Arabidopsis thaliana: one gene and its partners. The protein of the gene in region 4 interacts with the protein of the main gene of each other region in a pairwise test. Each region holds a gene or a part of one and is shown on either strand. Other genes may lie near its edges. The genes, in order: AT5G67130, AT5G51160, ELIP1 and AT4G12000.

What was found.
Region 1: the proteins of AT4G12000 (region 4) and AT5G67130 interact in a protein complementation assay, tested with the Arabidopsis thaliana proteins (one large-scale study listed by BioGRID).
Region 2: the proteins of AT4G12000 (region 4) and AT5G51160 interact in a protein complementation assay, tested with the Arabidopsis thaliana proteins (one large-scale study listed by BioGRID).
Region 3: the proteins of AT4G12000 (region 4) and ELIP1 interact in a protein complementation assay, tested with the Arabidopsis thaliana proteins (one large-scale study listed by BioGRID).

What each region holds. Positions count from the first base shown.
Region 1 is NC_003076.8:26,788,861-26,794,818, forward strand, and holds AT5G67130 (PLC-like phosphodiesterases superfamily protein), read left to right. Parts: upstream 1-2,438; 5' UTR 2,439-2,738; coding exon 2,739-2,843; intron 2,844-2,937; coding exon 2,938-3,060; intron 3,061-3,297; coding exon 3,298-3,435; intron 3,436-3,516; coding exon 3,517-3,615; intron 3,616-3,707; coding exon 3,708-4,011; intron 4,012-4,097; coding exon 4,098-4,321; intron 4,322-4,393; coding exon 4,394-4,480; intron 4,481-4,588; coding exon 4,589-4,789; 3' UTR 4,790-5,022; downstream 5,023-5,958. Other genes in the region: AT5G67120 (RING/U-box superfamily protein), read right to left, coding at 34-156, 489-602, 680-877; AT5G67140 (F-box/RNI-like superfamily protein), read right to left, coding at 5,149-5,364, 5,444-5,542, 5,635-5,770.
Region 2 is NC_003076.8:20,789,671-20,794,893, forward strand, and holds AT5G51160 (Ankyrin repeat family protein), read left to right. Parts: upstream 1-2,402; 5' UTR 2,403-2,609; coding exon 2,610-3,113; intron 3,114-3,186; coding exon 3,187-4,011; 3' UTR 4,012-4,171; downstream 4,172-5,223. Other genes in the region: AT5G51150 (Mitochondrial import inner membrane translocase subunit Tim17/Tim22/Tim23 family protein), read left to right, coding at 1-17, 157-256, 350-448, 606-953, 1,064-1,156, 1,261-1,467, 1,559-1,825; AT5G51170 (U6 snRNA phosphodiesterase-like protein), read right to left, coding at 4,236-4,433, 4,547-4,612, 4,710-4,806, 4,885-5,131.
Region 3 is NC_003074.8:8,083,624-8,088,263, forward strand, and holds ELIP1 (Chlorophyll A-B binding family protein), read right to left. Parts: upstream 2,047-4,640; 5' UTR 1,823-2,046; coding exon 1,679-1,822; intron 1,593-1,678; coding exon 1,494-1,592; intron 1,350-1,493; coding exon 1,005-1,349; 3' UTR 782-1,004; downstream 1-781. Other genes in the region: AT3G22845 (emp24/gp25L/p24 family/GOLD family protein), read left to right, coding at 3,750-3,965, 4,221-4,407, 4,526-4,633. UniProt on the Arabidopsis thaliana protein: Prevents excess accumulation of free chlorophyll by inhibiting the entire chlorophyll biosynthesis pathway (e.g. 5-aminolevulinate synthesis and Mg-protoporphyrin IX chelatase activity), and hence prevent photooxidative stress.
Region 4 is NC_003075.7:7,191,651-7,197,732, forward strand, and holds AT4G12000 (SNARE associated Golgi protein family), read right to left. Parts: upstream 3,567-6,082; 5' UTR 3,293-3,566; coding exon 3,014-3,292; intron 2,691-3,013; coding exon 2,454-2,690; intron 2,375-2,453; coding exon 2,157-2,374; intron 2,064-2,156; coding exon 1,877-2,063; 3' UTR 883-1,876; downstream 1-882. Other genes in the region: AT4G12005 (uncharacterized protein), read left to right, coding at 5,056-5,103, 5,241-5,435; AT4G12010 (Disease resistance protein (TIR-NBS-LRR class) family), read right to left, coding at 5,675-6,082.

The DNA of each region.
Region 1 (5,958 bases), on a different chromosome or scaffold from region 4:
AAACTTAATCTAGTCTATATATTTATTATATACCTCGTAAATGAAGGTGCCTCCATGAGAAGATGCATTTGTATACTCTTCTTGTGATCCTGTTTCAGATTGTTCATTGGTCGATGACTGTAACCAGTTTCTCCAGTAACGCTCCAACGTTTCTTCCTATATAATTTCAATGTCTAGATTATATCTAAAAGCTTTATACCTTTTAAAGAAAAATATTAGATAATAGATAATTAATTACTCAATTAAGTGACATTCAATGTTTTCCCACGCAAAAACAGAAAATTTAAAACCAAACAAGATACGAGGGAAATGATTACGTAAAATCACGGAATGTCAAAACAAATCAAAATCCTTTTTTTTTTTCTTTCAAATGTCAATAATATTGGATCTTATTTCCTCCAATATTGATTCATAAACTCTTGAAATATATTTGAAATGCTAAGAGATTTGCATATCAAAAGTTAATCTAGTCTAGATTTATACTATACCTCGTTAGTGAAGGTGTTTCCATGAGAAGATACATCTGTATACTCTACTACTGATGTTGTTTCAGATTGTTCATCGTTCCATGATTGTAACGAGTCCTGCTCGAACGTTGTTTCCTAAACAATTTTCATGTCTATATTATATCCAAATAAATTATTTCTCTTAAAAAAAACATTAGATAATAGATAATTACCCAACTAATTGTCCTCAGAAGGGAACCGGGCTCTATTGCCGGACCATCACCGTTCACATCAAGCGTTGGATCTGGTGAGATGTCATCAGCATCAACTGGTGAGTAAGTGTCCCATAGATCCCAGTCGTCTCCAAATAGTAGCCACATGAAGCTAAAAGGACTATCCGGTATCTCAGAATTGTCTTCGTTTGGATCCATACTTTTGGAGAAACATATTACCTGACTCAAAATTTTTTTTCAAGGGGCTAGATTAAGCTGAATTTATATAGATAATTAACACTTTCAAGTATCATCACCATTTAACTCTTCCATTCAAATGCAAATACTTGAGTGGACAGGATAGTCTTAATATTGATAAAGTAATAGAAAAAATAAAGACGTTATGAACAAAGAAAAACCACTAAATATATTGTAGCTCAGTTAAAGGAAAAATATATATACCAAATTAAGGCTTAAACGATAAATAATGCATATAACCCACTTTTCAGTGCCTCCATGGATAAAAGGATTTAGCAACTTTAAGGAAAAAAGGTTTATACCAAAAAAAAGTTCAAGGAGAAAAAGACCACTGATTTACAATTGTTGGGTAGTTTGAAGTCCCAAAATGTTAAAAATTCAATTAAAAAAATTGTGACAGCTAATAAAAATGGAACTTTAGCTGGATTCGGAAGATTTATTTTATTGAAAATAAGGATTCTGTTTTAATTATAGCTCTAATACAGTTGAATTGGTTTTTTATAGAAAAACATTTCTTTATTGAATTTTCTTCAATGGAAAAATATCATTTTAGAGTGAATAAGTACAAAAAATAATAAATGTTGCTTTCAACAAAAAAAGGAAGGAAATTTTATGTTTTGGCTTTGTATATTTGCTTTCAACGTCATTAAAACGCTTTTTAAACCGGAGATATGCATCTTGTTTTCCTCATTTACAAGTTCACAAGATGATTAATTACATTACTTGGGTCATGGGCTTAAAAAGAGAGAGTTTGGGTCCAACTAAAAAGGCTCAGTAAAATACGTAAATGGGCCTAGCGTTATAGCGAGAGGCAGAGAGAGAATTTACACGACGACGACGTCATACTCAATGGACGTAAATGTCCAAACTACAAAAGTTTTTTTTTTTTTTTGTGTATTAAAAAAAAAATCTCAAGTTAAAAACACATCAAGAGTATATTACAGCAACTTGTGTGTTAAATCACCAATTGTGAATAAATCGGTTATGGAAATCAATCATTTTTTTTTTTGGTTTAATGGAAATTAATCATTTGATCGTTAAGAGTGTCACTAATTCGATACGTCACTTGCTGACGAATCTGCAGATGAAATAGGCATGGTATGATAAATCTCGTTAAGAATAAAATTTCACCTAGATGTTTGAGTAATTTTTGTAAGATGATGAAAATTGTAACATTTTTCATTGAAAGAAGCAAAGAGACAAGCAACAAGACAAGAGTGTCCCCACGCATGTGAGCACCGTTAACCATAATAGAAAAAAGATATCTTCATCTAATAATAGGTGAAAAAATCTTATAACTGAGCAAATTTTAGAGAATGAAAATAGTGATCTGTGAAATAATTTTTTTTTTTTTTATGATAGACCTCACCTAACAACTAGAAGAAATAATATAAAACCATTATTACTTATATTGATAAACTCTTACAAGATCACTGTTTCCATAAATCTTGACAAAAATGTCACTCCATATGTTTGGTGTACAAGACTAGAAACTGTAGTTTTGAGTTATGTTATTATAATGTTAAACTGTATTATGCTCAAAATTGAACTCCTTTTGAAAGGTGGTTTATCTTCTTTACTAATCGTTTCTTCATTTTCTCTCTAGGAGCTAGGTGGGAAAAAGATTCAACCTTGTCTTAGAAAAAGAAAACCAAAGCTAATCTTTTTCTTTTGTACCTCTCTTTCAAGGATTAACAAAACAAATCGATGAAGCCCGGGTTTTAGTACCTAAACATCTCTTTGTCTCGTCTTTGAAAACCCCCCCAAGTAGATCCAACATCATTCATATCTCTCTCTCTATCTCTGCATAAGCTACGGAGCGATGTCGGCGTGCATCAATGGCTTATGCAGAGCCGTGACTGTCTCTCTTCTTCTTCTTCTTCTTTCTTTCTCTTTTTCCTCAGCTTGCTCCAATGGAAATTGCCAGGTTCTTGATTCTCTTTGCTTATTATTCTCTGGTTTATGGCTATCAAATTTGGGTCTAAATCTTTAGGGATTTTGCATTTTTGTGTCTCTTTCAGCTGCTGGATTCATGCTCCTCGGCTACTGATTGTGTCTCTGGTTTATACTGTGGAGACTGTCCTGCCGTTGGAAGAAGTAAACCCGTCTGCACAAGAGGCCAAGCCACAAGTCCAACTTCCATTGTGAGATTTAGTTCCTATAATTAGTTGGATTTCTCTAGAGTTTCCAATTTTTGAAGATGCGTTGTTTCAAAAGATAGTCTAGATCACTTGGTCTATCAAAAGTTTTGAACTTTGAAGATGGGTTTTGCTGAAGATTTCATTTGGTTGCATTAAAAGATAGTCTAGATCATTTGGTTGTATCAAAAGTTTTGAACTTTGAAGATGTGGTGATGAAATTTGTGTGTGTGTTTTTTGTAGATCAATGGATTGCCTTTTAACAAGTATACATGGTTGATGACTCATAATGCCTTTAGCAATGCAAATGCACCACTTTTGCCAGGTGTTGAGAGGATTACATTTTACAATCAAGAAGATACTATTACTAATCAGCTACAAGTAATGCTCTTATTACCAACTCTCTTATTATAGTTTCCTCTTTTTTTGGATAAAACTCTTGAATGTATATTTTTGTTCTAGAATGGAGTTAGAGGGCTAATGCTGGATATGTATGACTTCAACAATGATATCTGGCTTTGCCATTCGCTTCGAGGGCAATGTTTCAACTTCACCGCTTTTGTAAGTTTTATCTTCAGCTTAACCTTGCTGGATCGAAAGCTTGAAACCTGATTGGATTGGTAAATGTGAACTTTGTTTTCTTTTTGAATCAGCAACCTGCAATTAACATACTGAGGGAAGTTGAGGCATTTCTGAGTCAAAACCCAACAGAGATTGTTACCATCATAATAGAGGATTATGTGCACAGACCTAAAGGCTTATCAACACTGTTTGCCAACGCTGGTTTGGACAAATACTGGTTCCCTGTTTCGAAAATGCCTAGAAAGGGAGAAGATTGGCCTACTGTGACTGACATGGTGCAAGAGAATCATAGGCTCCTGGTTTTCACTTCTGTTGCTGCCAAAGAAGATGAAGAAGGCGTTGCGTATCAGTGGAGATACATGGTTGAAAATGAATGTGCGTATTACACACAGTTTATATCTTTAATGAAAATTGTCTCTGAGAATAACCTTCTCTTGCCATTTTCTTATGATTGTCTAAAGCTGGGGATCCCGGAGTGAAGCGAGGTTCTTGTCCTAACAGAAAAGAGTCTCAACCTTTAAATTCAAAAAGTTCTTCGCTATTCTTGATGAATTACTTCCCGACATATCCGGTTGAGAAAGACGCTTGCAAGGAGCACTCAGCTCCACTTGCTGAGATGGTTGGGACTTGTCTCAAGTCAGGAGGGAATAGAATGCCAAACTTTCTTGCTGTTAACTTCTACATGGTACTGAATCAATCATATAACTATAATATGACTGTTTTTACGAGATCTAGCTAACAAACCATAATATTGCAGAGAAGTGATGGAGGCGGCGTTTTCGAAATTCTGGATAGAATGAATGGACCGGTACTTTGCGGTTGTGAAACTCTTTCTGCTTGCCAGGTATTAACTTATTAACTCGCGCCAAAGTTACTTATGGGTATGAAATAAGATCTTACAAGCCTAAATTATCTAAAACCGGCACCCGTATTTTGGTTCTTGATGTTGCAGCCAGGAGCAGCTTATGGTTCATGCAAAAATGTTACTGTACAGACAAGAACTCCAAGCATGGATTCAACGGCTGGAAGCAACTCAGGTGGAAGCTACTCAGGTTCAGTTCAGTTCTCAAGATCTTTAGCTTCTGTGGCCCAACTAAACAACATTGTTGTCTTCTGCTTCTCATTGCTTCCGTTGCTGATATTTCTACTATGACACAACCAATCAAACCACGTGGAGAGATTCTTAGGTTAGAGAATCTTGATCACTTCTTTAGAACGAATGAGAGAGCCTAAGTTGACATGAATTGCCTTAGAAAGAGTTTCTGATTTGATTCTTGTATTGTAGACTGCAGAGCTATAGGCAGAAATCTTGTGTATGTGTGTCTTCAGCTTCTGTTGATTGTTATGCAACTTATATATATATATATATAGACACAATTCTACTCCAATAGAAACTTTACTGAATATTTATATATATATGTTGTTGATTGATGAGAGAACACATAAGATATATGCAGATTCAATTGTATGAATTACTATGTACACAACAAACAAGAAATATGATGAGCAACACTAGACAGCATGCAGCAACGGTGGTGGATTCTGAGCATTGAGAAGCAATTCCATGGGTTTGATCTGAAGAGCAGGACTGATGGTAAGTAAAGCAATGAAGCAATCTACAGGAACTCTAGTTCCCCATAAGTTGATGGATTCGAGTTTTCTGCATTTGTTTACAAGAACAAGAAGGCCTCTCTCTGTCACATGACGGCAACACCACATTCCGATTGTCTGCATAAAGGATTCCAATTTCGAAAGCGTGATTCTCATGAATCTAGAGAGAATTATTTGGTTAGATGATTGTTGTTACCTTAAGCTGATGGCAGCGTTCTGCAATTGCGAAAAGAGACTCATCGGTTATAAATGTTCCTCCTATGTTTAGGTGTTGCAGTGAGGAAGTTCTTGAAATCTGTCAAATCAAAATCAAGATTCTCTGAAATGATTAAAACAAAAAAGGAATCTTCAAGATTCCAGTGCACAAAAAACGGTGTTAGATTTTACCAGTTGAACAACACCAGAATCAGTAATGGCGGTCATGCCCCATAAAGAGACAGAGTTTAAATTGGATACACATCTTGCAGAAGCTATTTGGTAAAGACCATTATCAGTTATATGACAACCCCATCTGCTTCGAGATCTTCAAATATGAAAGAAGAAAAAAACAGAGTTTATAGTTCTGTTCTGTTTTTTGACCAAGTCAATATCCTATCTCAAACACCCTAAAGGTAAAGTTGGAAACTTGACCAAAAAATTCAGCAAATCTCCACTATCCCACCAATCTTGTTTACTCTTAATCCGCCATTGAAGGACAAATCAAGTACGATC
Region 2 (5,223 bases), on a different chromosome or scaffold from region 4:
GAGACGCCATTGAATTCGTAAGTTTATTTTATTTATTTGTGTTGCCTAAGATTTCGATTGTTGTATCTCTTTTCTTATAATGCTTCTACTTTTTACTTTGTGCATAGTGCTTGAAAAGTATATTCCTTATTATGACTTTGATTAAGGGTGGAGCAGAGTCTTAGCAGGTTCAGTTGCGGGTTTGTCTATCTTGGCTTTAGATGATTCCAACCAGCGTCGCACACTTGCTCTATACCTCTTGGCTAGATTAGGCCAGGTACATCTAATGGTCATAGTATTGTCTGTCGTACAGAGTAATATCACCACACAGATGTTTTTTTCGGAGTCTGATTTTTTCTCTTATTAATAGGCGGCTTATAATTCCGCTAAGTCAAAGAACAAGTTCCATCTTTGGGGTAGCCATTGGAGACATGGAGATTCGTTACTTTTTTCTCTTGCATGTGCTCAGGTATTTGAGATTCTTCTCTTTTCTTCCTGTTCTAGTTAGTAATGGAGATAGTATAGACGTTGAAAGACATTTTTGTGTACCATACGTATTCTCTCCAATGTGATTTGGTAGTGATTATGGTCAGCAAGCTAATTTTGTTGCAATGAGGTCGGTGCAGGTTATGTATTCCTTTATAATGCGTCCTGAAACCTTGCCAAAATCATATAGAGAATTTATTCAGAAGACTGGTCCAGTTGCAAGGCCTGTCTACCAAGCTGTAAGAGAGTGCTGCAGAGGTGGTCCAATTGATGTAGCCTCCTTGTCAGCCTATATTTCTAGTAAAAACGAAGCAAGCGACGTGAAGGTGGAAGAGTTTGCTTCCATCATTCCCTGTGCAGCTATTCATCCAAACACTAACTCGTGTCTGGCCCAAAATGCTAATGCAATGTCAGCTACATTCAAGAAAACATTTCCATTATATTTCTCCCTGACTTTTGTCCCATATGTTGTTCTACACCTACAAAAAGTAAGACTGTCCCTCAATATTTGCCGTTTCAGTCTTTTAGATTCCTATGGTTTATGCATTAGTCAGACATGATATGTAGTTTCTGATGCCATCCTACACTTTCATTTCAGTTCATGGCTTCTCCTTACCGGACATCTTGGCTTGCAATCAGAGATTCAGTTAGATCGACGTCCTTCTTGTCTGCTTTTGTTGGGATTTTTCAGGTAGCTGGTTTTTACATTTGATTTGTGTCCCCTCATTTCATACAATTCACATAGTTTCCTAAAACCATTCCCAAATGTATGTGCCTTCATCCCATTTGCATTAGGCTTTCATATGTGCCCATAGAAAAGTTGCAACCAAAGACCACAAGCTCGTTTATTGGTTTGCGGGTGGTGCAGCAGCCCTCTCAGTTATGCTGGAGAAGAAACCGAGACGCTCTGAGCTTGCTCTATATGTTCTTCCCCGAGCAGGAGATTCTCTGTGGGAGATACTTGTTAATCGCCACCTTCTTCCCGACATTAAAAATGCTGAGGTACAATACAATTACAAACCACTTTTGTTATTTCCAACTTTCTTCCCCTTTGAGCAATGGAACTGATGTTTTATACAATTAATGGAAACAGGTGGCTTTATTCTGTGGATGCATGGGAGGAATAATGTACTACCTCGAATATGAACCTGATACAATGGCTCCGTTTCTGAGGGGACTCATCCGTCGGTTTCTTGCTAGCCAAATAAGCAATCCTAGCAGCAAATACCCTCATAGTTCGTCCTATTCTTATCTCCAGACCCTAGATGCATTGAAGAAACCGAAAACGCAGGAGAGCCGAGAAGGCGAAACTCCGAAAGCCGAAGAAAAGTATAACTTGGAAGCAATTCCCGGTCTTTAGAAGTATAAGCAGAAGCTGTCTGATACTATATTAGCACCTGACGTTGAAATTGAGCAAACCAAAAAGGACCCTTTACGGAATCATGATTTTGATTGTGTTTCAGGAAGTTAATGTGAAACTTTCCAGAAAGAAAGGGTTCCTCCACACAGAAAACTTAAGAGATTGAAGTGATTCATAGGATTTAGGAGCCTGTTTTTTATTTTCTTTCACGTAATAACAACAACTCCACTGTCTCTTCTTTATTTCAATGAGAAGTAGCAGAATGAAGAAGATTTATGGCAAGCGAGTCAAGCTGTCTTGATTTGTTAACACCAACACAGTGTTGAAACTTGAAACAGATCACTAGATATATTCCTTTTTGTCTTGTTATAATCTTGATCTATTGCTTAAAAACTCACTTCAAGAAAAACACAGTTTTGTTTAGTTTCCTAATGCAAGTTCTCTCAACCGATGGAAAAAAAGTCAATTCGTCTAAGATTTGACTCTCATACCCAAAAACTATTGTATTACTCAAATTGTTGAAATTTCATCTGTATTGGTCGGAGCGGATATGAATTTGCACATACGATGATCTCAGGGTCAGAAAATCAAAAGATAAAGTAATGCAAACAACTGACACTTGTAAGCATTTGTTCCACTTTAAGGAATACTTCATATGCTACAAAGTCAAATGTCAAAGGGAGTTTTGTAATAGAAAATTTCAAACAAGCGTCGTGATGGTACACACCTTCATTGTATATTCAACTCGATCTTCTCTCTCTCTTTCTTCTGCATCATCACCAAAATGGATGCTTTTGAGACTCATTTACCGAAGGAGATCGTCTCTGATCCTCTCTATAACTCCTTCAACCCAAGGAGTGAAGAGTATGTCGTCGCCGGAAAGATTCTCAGGCAGCGGTCAGTCTTTGACTTGGACAAAAACGGGTTTAGCCCTCTTCATGCAGCTGCGGCAGCCGGACAAGTAGAGACTGTGAGGGCAACTTTGGGGGTTGAAAAGAAGCTTTGCCGCTTAAAAGATAGAGATGGAAAGACTCCTCTACATGTGGCAACGATGAGAGGGAAAATCGATGTGATCAGAGAGATTGTAGCGAGCTGTGTTGATTGTTTAGAAGACGAGACCGTACAAGGTCAAACTGCTTTGCATCTTGCTGTTCTGCACCTAGAGATCGAAGCAGTCATAGCCATTGTTGAGTTGATCACAGAGACAAATCGATTTGATGTGTTGAATAAGAAAGATGAACAGGGTAACACTGCTCTTCATCTTGCAACCTGGAGAAAAAATCGCCAGGTACGACGAATTAAGTTGCGGTTAAATAGTTTTCTTCCAGTGGAATCAAACTCTGTTTTTCTTTTGCCTACAGGTGATTGAAGTGTTGGTTCAGGCAATACCAGAAGAATCAAGGTCATTTGAGGTGAATGCTATGAACAAGATGGGTCTATCAGCGATGGATTTGCTGGTTATGTTTCCGAGCGAAGCTGGCGATAGAGAAATCTATGAGAAACTCATCGAAGCTGGAGCTCAGAGAGGGCGAGACATTGGCACTACTAATGTCGAGAGAACCACTTCTACTTCCACATGCCAAGAGAGAACAATGAAGTCCCAAAGCCATAAAGAACTTGTCAAGTACTTCACTTTCAAAAAGCACAGAGACTCACCATCAGAAGCACGTAGCGCATTACTAGTGGTGGCTTCACTAGTCGCCACAGCCACGTTTCAGGCCAGCTTGACCCCACCAGGTGGAACCTGGCAAGATAGCTCAATACCTGCTGTATCCCAGAACACAACGAATGTGAATACTACAAATCAACAAGCTCATACAGCAGGGCAATCTATCATGGGGACCTTCAATGGAGTTGCTTTCACTTTGTTTGTGTTCTTCAACACAATTGGGTTTTCGGTTTCACTGTCTATGCTCAACATTCTCACCCTCGGGTTCCCATTGCGGTTCCAGCTTCAGATCTGTATGATTGCTATGTATTTCTCGCACAACACAACCATGGCCAGCATTGCACCTGATCATGTCAAGCTTTACTGCATTCTCATCACATCCATCCTCGCTGCTACCACCCCGGGTTTGATGAGGTTGCTCGAGAACCCTATTGGTATGCTCGCTCACTTCTTGGACTCCAGGTCACAAAAAATTTGCTCCATGATTTCACTTTCATGTAAACGTTTTGTAACATAATAGTAGCCAGTTCAATATCTACCTTATTTCAAATCACAAGGACTTGTTGTTGCATTGTCCAGAAATCACCAATGTTATTACGAGTGATATTATGATATATGGAGACTTTTTTCTATGAAGAGACATATATTATGGAATACCCAAGAACACAGATCAACTCATCCTTCTATGTCGTTACAAATGCATACCTGATTGGTCTGCAAACACAGAAATTTGAGATTTTCTTATTCATCTGGGAGTTTACATATTTTGTGTGTTTTGTTTCCTATCTTACACTCGATCCCACAAAACTTAGAGGTGAAGATACGATTCTGCACACAACCACCTGCTCTAAGCTTCCTAAGTTCCACGTCAACAGCTCCCTTTAGGGAAGTTCTAATATCACCCAACGCCCAGACCAAGGATATATGCGGCCGCGGATCCTAAAAGAAAAATTGAAGCAGACTCGATGGGATAAGTGTCCATGACGATTTTCATTGGCTAAACAGTAAAATACAATCAAGCTGTAAAGTACTATATAGAAAAGCAAGTGGACCTTGTAGAACTCCGGCAGATTGTGGAGCTTGTAAACTTCATTAACAGCATCAATTTGCTTACTTATCTGAATTAAGGATATGATAATCAGTACAATATCTAACACAAGGTACTGAGTATGCAAAAATCCAACATTCAAGGTTAACTCTTGTTGTACAACATACCTCGGATAGTCCTGAAGTAGTGATTTCCAAAGAAAGGAAAGAGCGAGTATGGTCATCATTCACAAAGACTTCCCACTTATTGAAATCTATCAAGTATCTGTCAAAAACAGAACGGAAAACAATTCACAAACCCCATCGTAATTTGGGTAGTATGGTAGGCAAGAAATGATCTTACCTCTTCTGCAACTGAAGCTTTTGCCGAAGCATAGAAATCACCGAGTTAATCTGATGAACACGTAGTGGAACGTTTCTTCCTAAGCTTATGTGGAACTCTCTCCCCAAGGCACGCTCAAACTTCTGATCATCCTTGCATAGAATGCTGAGTGGCACATCAGCCTCTACCAAATGAAGATGAGGAACAACTGATGCAACCTTCTTTAAAAAACATACAATCTCCTTCTTTGGCAGTGGAGGTATACAAACTAGAATCCCAAAAACAAAATAAACAATGAGTGAAAGAGAAAGACAAGTGATACACTTCATCAGGCCTGCACTTCATCAATACATTCTCAAA
Region 3 (4,640 bases), on a different chromosome or scaffold from region 4:
AAGAGAATTGTTATACAAAAGAGAACAATCCATAACTAAACCAATGGAAGCTATTTTCCCTGCATACATGTAAAGAATCAATATTTTCTAACTGGACTTAGGAAATGAGGGATCTCCAATGAAGCCATTGGCCCAATTATTTGGAATATGGCCCATTTACTTTACTTCACGCATGCTCGTTTCTTTTTAAATGTTAATCACTGTCCACTGGTCCTCTCTCTATGTACTGTTTTTCCGATGACCGAAAAAGTATTTTATTATTTCAAACGTAAATTATGTTTGTGTTTACATATACCTTTTTTTTTATGTATTCAGGATAAAATATTCTTAGATTTTCATACACTAATTTTTTTTTTGCTTGATATTTAAGTGATGTCTAAACATATATAAGATCTATCGGTATATGATCTATTCAAATGGCAATTAGAGTTGGTAAATTTATTATCTTCCCCAGCATTAAGATTTGAGATTCATTCAGTTTGAAGATTCTTTGATATTTTGTGTATTTTTATTTTAGTAGTTACGCTTAATGATATTGATTTTATTTTTAACTAAGACTTTTCTGAATCCACCATTTGTTCGAATTATATATCATCTATAGTGGATCACTCACCACTTGTTTCGTCGGCAAATGAAAGATGTGAATTTTCTTAACATTTTTTTTCTTTTTTTCTTTTTATAAGATGAGCATTAAATGTAAAACTCGATAGTAGGTGAAATCGTGTATTGTTATTTGTTAGGTTCGCAATTATGATGACAGGCCATTAATATAATTTGGCCTTGTAAGTCACATATTGTATGGTTATAATTTCTGAAAGTTTTTGGAAGGCGTAGAGCTTTATAGAACACCACTAATTTTAAAGTGTTTTTAACCCGAAGTTTCAAAATGTCACTTAGTACACATGTATAAAACACACAGTAGGCCTAACACAGATTACTTTACAGAGAAATTACATGGGCAAAATCGTATTAAAACATCCTCCCCATAACGTGCTCTCTTTTCCTTAGACGAGTGTCCCACCTTTGACGAACTCAGTGAACGCCAACGCGACCAAACCGAGCATCGCGAAACGTCCGTTCCAAAGCTCAGCGTCTGACGTCATGATACCTTTGGACTTGGACTCAACGCTTATGCCCTTGAAAAGCGGCACAAGCGACGCAAGTGTCAAGATCGCTGTTGTACCGAGGAACCATGAGACGCCACCGTCGGAGATCTGAGCTAAAACGTTTTCACCCTTGGATAGCTCGACAGCCAACGCCGCAACGAATCCAACCATCGCTAAACGTCCGTTAATCCTCTCTGGTGCTGGACCGCTAAACGCTAGCAAGTCGCTAAACTTTGTGCTCACCTATATTCACCACCCCAAAAGTTATTAACAAAGATTCACAAATAAAGCTTGTTTAATGAATTTTCAAGATTGTATGTTCTTAATATCTAAGACCCGATTAATTAAAATACAAATTCTTGTTTATCAAAACTTCTAAAATTATACCTTAGGTTTCATAGGAGGAGGAGGAGATGGTGACTTCGGCAACGGCTGAGCGGCCGAGGTAGATGGTGCTGGTGAAGAGTCTTCATTCGTGGGTCCTCCCTGAAAAAGTCAAATAATCAGACGGTCAGGATTTCATAGTCACATGATGAATGGCCGTTGTATCAGGGAAGTGGAGAATAACGTACCTCAGCCATGCATCTCACTCCCACCGGATAATTCCTCTTGAGGTTAGGGAAGCTACCGGCGGAGAAAAGCTTGTTGGTGTTGATCTTGCGAGTGGTTAATCCACCGGCGAAGACTGATTGCATGTTGAACGATGCTGTTGCCATTTCTAAAGCTTAGAACTACTAGTGTGAGAGAAATTAAGAAGAAACTTGGAGTAGCTAAGTGATTATCGCTTAGGTTACAGAACTTTAAGCTAGATCGTGTGTAGAAGCTTGATATGAGTAACGAATGATCTTACGTATGTATTTATAGGACGGGTGATCAGAAATGATAGGTCATTAGGTCGAGTTGTTTCCTGAACTTTCTTTTAGTTATTTACTTATTTAGCCTTTCGATATTGATAAGTTAATATAGTTCACACAAAAATAACCAACGGTCAAAAACATTACACGTGAATCATATAGTATTTGAAAGGTTCACTATCTAGGTTGAAGGATCAGCGTTCAAATTTTCTTACTACAATTTTTATTCTGATTTGTTATTAAACTGTTTCAACTGGATTAATTAACACACACCAAATTCATTATAAGTCTCACATAGTATCATATTCTTTATTGTTATACGAGTAGTAATCAACAAAGTCATTAAGTACATCACCTCGATAAAAAGCCAATTCTATGGAAAAATTAATATGGACAGTTTATCTACATTTCATATTCTTATGAACTAAAACATGCTAATTATTTTATTTGGATCTCCAAGATTTTTGGACATCCAAATTATTTCTAAACTGACTGACTCGTGTATTTGGCCGGTCCAAAACAAAACACGTAGGCTCCAAAAGTGTAAAAGAGGAAGCTGCGATATTTAAAGGAACCACGTTGCTTAGATTGTCCCCACGCATAACATAAATTTAACTTTTGAAGGACAAGGAACAAAGTCCATGGCGTGGCCTACTCATTCGCCACAGTTTCTTCTCACTTTTTTGGCCAAGTGCCAAGTGGGTTAGGTTAAAAACGTAAAAAAGATTCTCTCCATCTCCCAAAAACATGTGGCTCAAAAACAAAGCATAACATTGCTTTCGTTTCTAGAATACGTTCATTTCATTACACATCTCTCTTTATGCTTTTGGAACTTAGCTGAGTTTGGATTCAGACAGGCCCATACTTAGTCTGGCCGAGTCCGTGACTGTTCTCTCTTTGTCCCTTTCTACGTGGCCGATCCTAACTCCGTCAGTTTTTTGGTAATATTTACGGTCGTTTCAAAATGTCAATAACTTTACAATTAAATGGAGATAAAGATTATTTACTGTTAAGAAAAAAAAGACTATTTACTCTTACAGTCATACGTATCTCATAACGGGCCGTATAGGGCTCATTAGGCCCATCAACTCTAGCTTCCCTAACCAAATCATGTCTTTCGCTCATATATGTTCGTTTCTAATGTAGTGTTGACCAAATCTGCAAATTGACATTCTGATCATTTTAGTCTTTGATAACATATGAAAGAAGAATTGTCATTCTCAACCTAAGGAAATTTGGAAGGATTCACTTTTACATGGTAACACAAAGAAGAAAACATATGATTCTTTAGATTTTGTTCCCGGAAATAATGATTTCTTAGAATATAAGTACTTTGACATTATTGACCAAATAAATAAAAACTACCTTGACATTATTATGCATACATAACAGTCAATTCTTTTTAACACATATCAATGGCGTAGATAAAAAAAACTTCCAAAACGTACATTAAGTCATTAACCAATATATATACAAAAATCAAAAATTTTTTGTAAAAACAAACATCACTGAAACACTTTTTGAAGTAAAATTTTATCAATTTAATCATAATTTAGATCGTATTTTACTTACATTAAAATTAGTAATATTTTTCTCTAACTCTCTTTAATGACCAAAAGCCGTTGACCAATAAAATCTCCCCGTGTCGTCATAAACCGGTTTTAATTTCCGGTTTGGTAATCTAAGTCGCAATAAAATCCTCTTTGTCTTCTTCTTCTTCCTCTACTCGGCGAATTCTCTCGAGAAAACAAACTGAATTTTTTTGATCGAAGAAGATCTAAAAAAAAAGATGGAGAGACGACAAGCGAAGATCCATGTCTTTGTATTGATAGGTCTAATTCTATTGAATTCAATCAATCAAATCTCATCTCTCTCTGTAACGGTGAACGACGAAGAATGTGTCCAAGAGTACGTCCTTTACGAAGGCGACACTGTTTCCGGTAACTTCGTCGTCGTCGATCATGATATCTTCTGGGGATCCGATCATCCTGGTTTGGATTTCACGGTTAGCGATCTTTCAATTTACCTTTTTACCCCAAAAGTTCTTAACTTTGATACGTTTCCTTCGATAATCCCAATGTTTGATTTATCGTGAAATTGGTGTTTCTCATGCTTAATTTTGACCTGATCTGATCTTTGTAAGGATGTGACAATTTAGGGTTTGGTTGGGATTGTGGAAATTTGCTATCTTTGATTGGATTGGATTGGATTTTGGTTAGGGTTAATGTGTTGATTGATTCATTGGATTGTGTTTGTGTAGGTGACGTCACCAGCTGGGAACATTGTACAGACTTTAAAGGGAACATCTGGAGATAAGTTTGAGTTTAAGGCTCCAAAAAGTGGAATGTACAAATTTTGTTTCCACAATCCTTATTCTACTCCTGAAACTGTCTCCTTTTATATTCATGTTGGTCATATTCCTAATGAGCATGACTTAGCCAAAGATGGTTCGTTTCCATTCCCCTTATGTATGATCATCTTCATTGATGCAATCTGTATTTTGTGCATTGAGCTTGAGCTGTTTTGTGATGTTATGTTCTTTCTGTTTTGTTGTTTGGTTCTTAGAACATTTGGACCCGGTAAATGTTAAGATAGCTGAGTTGAGAGAGGCTTTGGAATCTGTTGTTGCTGAGCAGAAGTATTTGAAAGCTCGTGACACTCGTCACCGTCATAGTAAGTT
Region 4 (6,082 bases):
CATTAATTAGTGGTGATAATCGAACCATTTTCATGACCAGATTAATAGGGTAATTGTGTTCGGGCTCTAATATTATTTTAAGTTTTATAGGATTTCAACTACAAATTAATTGACAATGAGTTGATTGGTAAGTTACTTATATACTACTCAAATCATTTTTCATTTTTTTAACTTTCTAATGTGAGATCTTTTTTTACGGTGTATGGTTTACACTGTTATTTAAAATTTAACGAAATATTTTGTTATTTGGTGTCCACCCAAATATCCTAATTAAAGCCTAAAACTTTTAAGACATTGAATGTAATGTGTAACATTTAAAATCTCTTGAATGTGTAACTGAATTTGAAAGTCATTTTCCTATAGAAAAGCATGTGTTTCACCAGATGACAAATTACCATTAATGAGCAATGGATTTTATTCGCATGAAAAAGACACATAGATAGACTGTTGAAAGTGGTACCGAGTCAGAAGCATATATAGTTTAATTCAAACCAGAATATTCAGAAAATGCAAACTACATTAAGTCTTGACATGTAACTTTTTTACTGCTGATTGAATACACATACTTTAATCTAAAAGAAATATTTAGAGAATAAGACAAATATTTAATTTTGTGGTTCATAGGTAGGACAAAATGTAAATGGCTTTACATATACTTTTAGACAAAAGTGTTTCAAAGGATATTGGGTTTTGGACCAAAAGCATTTTTGAAGGGAATTAAGACAACATTTATTTCGGGATGAGAGTAGTTGAACATATTTGTTGTGTTATAGGACTTAGGAGAGCTTCAAATGCACCAGTATAAAAATAAAAAAAAATAAAAAAACTGAATCAATTATTGATCGATTCTTGTAAGTATATCTTTAAAATTTGAAAAAGCTTATGTAGAAAATTGGTTTATATTTAGCTTCATATTTTAGAATTATATATATTTCACATAAAGTTATTTCAATTCCACTTTGTATCTTATGCAAGAGACAAATGACTCGCAGAAGCACTTCATTTTCTAGTGTGAATTTTCAAGCAGAATATAGATGTCCAAATCCGATACTAGAAAAACCGCAGCTTCAAATCCCCAAGAACTCTCCATATAGTTCTTCTCCTCTTATCTCTCGCACTCTTCACTTGGGCAGATTCACACTGGTTTCACAAACCGCAAAAAAAAAAAAATGGTAATTAAAACAGTCTTTGATTAATTTTAGTAGAAATCCATTTAACAAAAGATTCGATTTGGTCTAGAATAACTCCATTATTTCAAATTGAAAAAATATAGATCATACATATTGTGATGAATCATAGCTAAGGTTTCTTCTTCAATTCCACCATTTAATATGTCGAACGCATAGCAATGTCGTACTCGTAGGCTACAAATAACTCTTGACCATTATAGTTCGAAAAAGAGACGCATTTGATTTTGATAGAAACAATTAAATGGCCATCTAAGCTATATTGGGCTTTTTCTCAATGCAGCCCATAATATTCGAAGTGCAAGTTTTCACTAGTCACCTACGAATATCTGACACAACACTTGCACTATTTACCAATTAGACAATTTCCAATCTTCATAGTTAGTTCATACTTACTAGAGAATATAAACGAGAAAACGAAGGAGGAGTAATGATCTTAAGTTTTCAATTGATCCATTCTTTTCAAACATCAAAAAACAAAAGATTGAGAAAACGCAAATAAGATTAAATCGTGTTAGAGAGTTTAGTTAGTGTTTATATAGTCATTATAATTTCTTTTATACCCTTTCATTTCTCGGCTATAAACAAACCAAAACAGAGACCAAAAATCAAGAGTTCTTTCACATCATGGACGAAAACCTGTACTTTGGGAATAAGCAGAGACATAACTTCTGAGGTTGTTGTCTCCATTACTGTAACAACAAAGCTTCCTTCTCCTTCTTCATAACTTCAAGCTGTCTTTTCGCATACTTAGTGATGAGAACAGTTGTCACAACAGTTGCTACAAAACCAAAAATGTTGAGAACAATTTGAAGAATCGAGAGACCCTTTTGTTCCGCAGTGGATGCATCTGCCAATGTCCTTATAAGAATCCCTCTGCAAACACCAAAACAAACAAAAATACTATCAGGATGCTAAATCAATCATTCATTCATTACCAAGAAAATTGTAAGTCATTTCCACACTTACGTATAAATTGCGACAAAAATCTCCGGCGCCATGCCTACGAGAGAACCAGCCATGTAAGGACCGAACTTCACACGAGTTGCAACAGCGCAGTAATTATATACAGCAAAAGGAAATGGAGAAATCCGGATTAAGGTAACTGCACGAAACTGATGAAACCAACTGCCTCCACCAGCAGCTCTCAACATTGCAGCTTGATCTGGATATCTTTCTAACCAACCCTGCAACATTCATCAATTTCAGCAACATACAAAGTAGTCGTTACTAAGAATATAACTGGTTCTTAAGCGAGACACATACTTGAATTTTGTTGAGGAAGAGATAGCTGATGAAGTAAGGAAGTGAAACACCAATAGCTACAGCTGGAAGAGTAAGGAGAAGGCCATAGAAATAACCAAATGTAATCCCAGCCACCCACATTGACGGCGTAGTTGGAATAAGTATCACAGGGAATAAAGAGACTGATGCAAACACAAGAATACCGCACACAGGGTGTGTAAATGTCTCCATCTCCCATTTTATGAGTGGGATTAGCTCCTGCAAACAAAAGTTAAATGGATAATCCCATAATCAGCAACAGAGCCAAATATGTCACTGACTGAATTTGTCACCAGCATCGAAAATCTACCGATTTTAGACACAGAACATCAACAACGAAACCTCACTTTGGTTATTGGATACTGAGCTAATCGTAGGGATACATAGTTTCAATTCACATGAACCAAAATCATAAAGGAACCTCTTTTATACACTAAGGATCTAATTCAGTAGTTGAAACTATAATCAAACCCAATAGATAAAGAAGAAGACTTTCAGAAGAAGATCAATTCAACAAGAAATCATTGGAGGAAATTGAAAACCTTATCCATGATTAAAGGGTATAGCCATTTGTAACCAGCGAGACCCAAAGCAGTTAGAAAAGTGAAGAAAAGACCAAGCTTGATCCAAAACCAAACAGATCGTTTCTGTCCACATGAAGAAGAAGAAGACGGTGATGATGAAGATTCTTGTTCTGTTTCTTGTCGATGTACTTCGAAATCTTCAGTAAGTTTAACATAATGACCTAATTTATCAACTCCATCTTCTTCAACTCTAACTCGAAATTCAGAAACTGTATCGTCTTCTTCGTGATAAGTCATCGAGTAGAAAAAAAGAGAGCGCTAGATTAGTAATCGACTGGATTCTCCGATCGGATTCAGAGAGAAAAACCCAGTGATGGAAAAATTGAATGACTCAACGAATCGAAAGAAACCTGGGGATGAAGGAAGGATTGAGAATAACAAATAAAGAAGATTTGTGTGATTTTGGAGAAAGATGAGTTTTTTTCTTTTTTCGGTTTGTTTGTTAATGTCATGGCTTGACGCATGTACCCATTCTTTTAAATTATTTTCTTATTACTTTATGATTTCTTCCGTCGTTACTTGCATTTTTTTATATTTTTTATTCAGTTTACCAAAAATTCTAGGAAATATAAAATAGTTATTTCACGGTTGACGAAAAATAATAAAATATGTAGTTTGAAAACACCTGGACCATGTCGGCATAAAAGCGTGTGGATATTGTTAGAAAGAAAAAAAATAATAATTTAAGGCCCCTACCAAATTTTACATTGTAAGATTTTAAGGTCTCAAAATAATTAGGGACAAATATTTTGGTGTAGTTGTAAAATTTGTTTTGATTGGGAGGTGTATATTATAAAACCAGATTTTAAATCCGTAATATACCGCATGATAATTTTTTTTTCTAATATATATATATATATATAAAATATAAAATTTTAAATTATTTATCTTTATATAATATTTTTTTTGTTTTGTTTACGATTGTTATTAAGTAACATATACCACGAATTTAAGAACAATAATTAAAACTTGAGGATTTAATTCGTATTAAACCAGCATATTACTGATATTTTAAAAATTTATAAATATTGATTCAAACTCATCTACTATAATCCGTTCCACAATATAAACCGTCTTGTAATCTCTTAACTCATCTCATGTAATATTTAATAAAAATATTAAAATTAAAAATTATTTATTATATATAAGTTTTTAAATTATATCATTTTCTGAGATATTTATATTTTATAATTTAATTGTTACTAAAAACATTATATTACTATATATATTTTATTTTATATAATTTTTGTAAATCAGACTGATTTATATGTATAATATTGATAGTATCAAAAAATAATAAATTTAAAACTTAAACTATATTAAAACAATATATTAATGATATTTTAATTTTTTTATTAATATTATTTTTAAAATTCGTTCCGTTAAATTTGTCTCGATAAGAATTTATTTATTTTATTAATATTAATATTAATCTGAATTACTATTTAAATATTATAGTTAATGTAAAATATTAAATACATATATTTTTAAATTGAATAATATATGTTGGTTTCTTACTAGGCATTACTAGACATTCATCAACGAAGTGAGATGGTGGCCATACACGTGGCCACAAATAAGGAGGTTAGCTTGTCGCGGGTTTCCCACTTTTTGAGCTTTTATTTTAATTTTATTATACGTGTTTAATTTCACCGACCAATAATCCACTGTGGTCGACATTCCGTATTCTCCGTGGACCCGGTTTTCGCAATTTCCCAATTTCCTCAATTTCGATTTGTCTTTGTCACCACAATCTGACGACGCCATCGCCGCAATGCCTTCCACCACCGAAACGGCAACATTTCCGATATCTTTCCCGCGAGCTACTTTTCTACTGTTCCGAGATCGAATTTTCTTCTTCTCGACTCGTCACAAAAACGCCTATTCTCACTTTCACCGCTCTTGGATTTTAATGGATATCTCTTGAAACCTCTCCGGCCATCTTCTCTTCGGCCATACTCTGAAATTTGGATTCCAAATTTATCAAAATTATAAATTTGATGGAAAAAAACGTGAAACAAGATTCACAAAGTTTCAGAATCCACGAGGTTGGTTGATCCAAGCAATCTGTTTTTCTTCTTTCTCCTGAGATTAAAGTGTTTGTTTAGAAATTGACTGTGCTTTGACATGTTACATCATTTTCTCCAGTATATGTTTAATCTTTGAAAATTGGTTTGGTATGAAGTTTCAGGTGACATTATGCCGTTTGAGATTTACATGTGAGGTTTATGCAACCATACAATGCACTCTGAGTGATTTGACAACCGTGGTAAGTGCTCTCTTAACTTCTATGTATGTGTGTAGTTCTAGCTCCATATGTGGAATCGACATTTCGAAATTAGCTTATAGCTCCAAAGTTCGGTTCTTTCTAGCTGCATAATGAAAGCCAAGATATTCATTCACAAGTTTAAAGTTCTAAGATCATCTTTGTTTTCTTGTTGTCATTGTTGATCTTTAATAGATATACGGTTCTTGAATATATGGATGCACATAATGATTACCTGATTATTTTAGTAGCTGTCCATAGTTTAAATCAGTATTGCACATTCTCTCTTTTTCTGTTAATGGTGATGTGTACTGACATTTAATAAAACAAAATTTTTGACATAACTTAAGATTCTATCTCACTGTGATCTTCTCCTCCTTCCTTCTCTTACAACCTGGTTCTTCACCACCAACAAACTGGCAAAGTCCTCTCTTGGGTCTAACGTCATCCATAACATCATCAAGATCGTAGGAACAACTTGGTCCGCTCTTCAAACTCAGCTGAACTATATTTGTCTTCTTTAGCAACATACAATCATCATCTTCAGGAACATACATTAAACTCATCCCACATTTTATCACTTCACAAGTTTCTATCTTCTTCCTTGTTTCATCATCTGTCACATAGAATTCGAACGAAGCCTTTGTGTAGCAACAGCTGTTACTCTCTCCATGGACATTTTTGACGAGAAAACAACTGTTGTATCCCATGAAAACGTGGTCAGAAGTGAGCTTTCTTGATTCATGGCTAAGGGATCCACA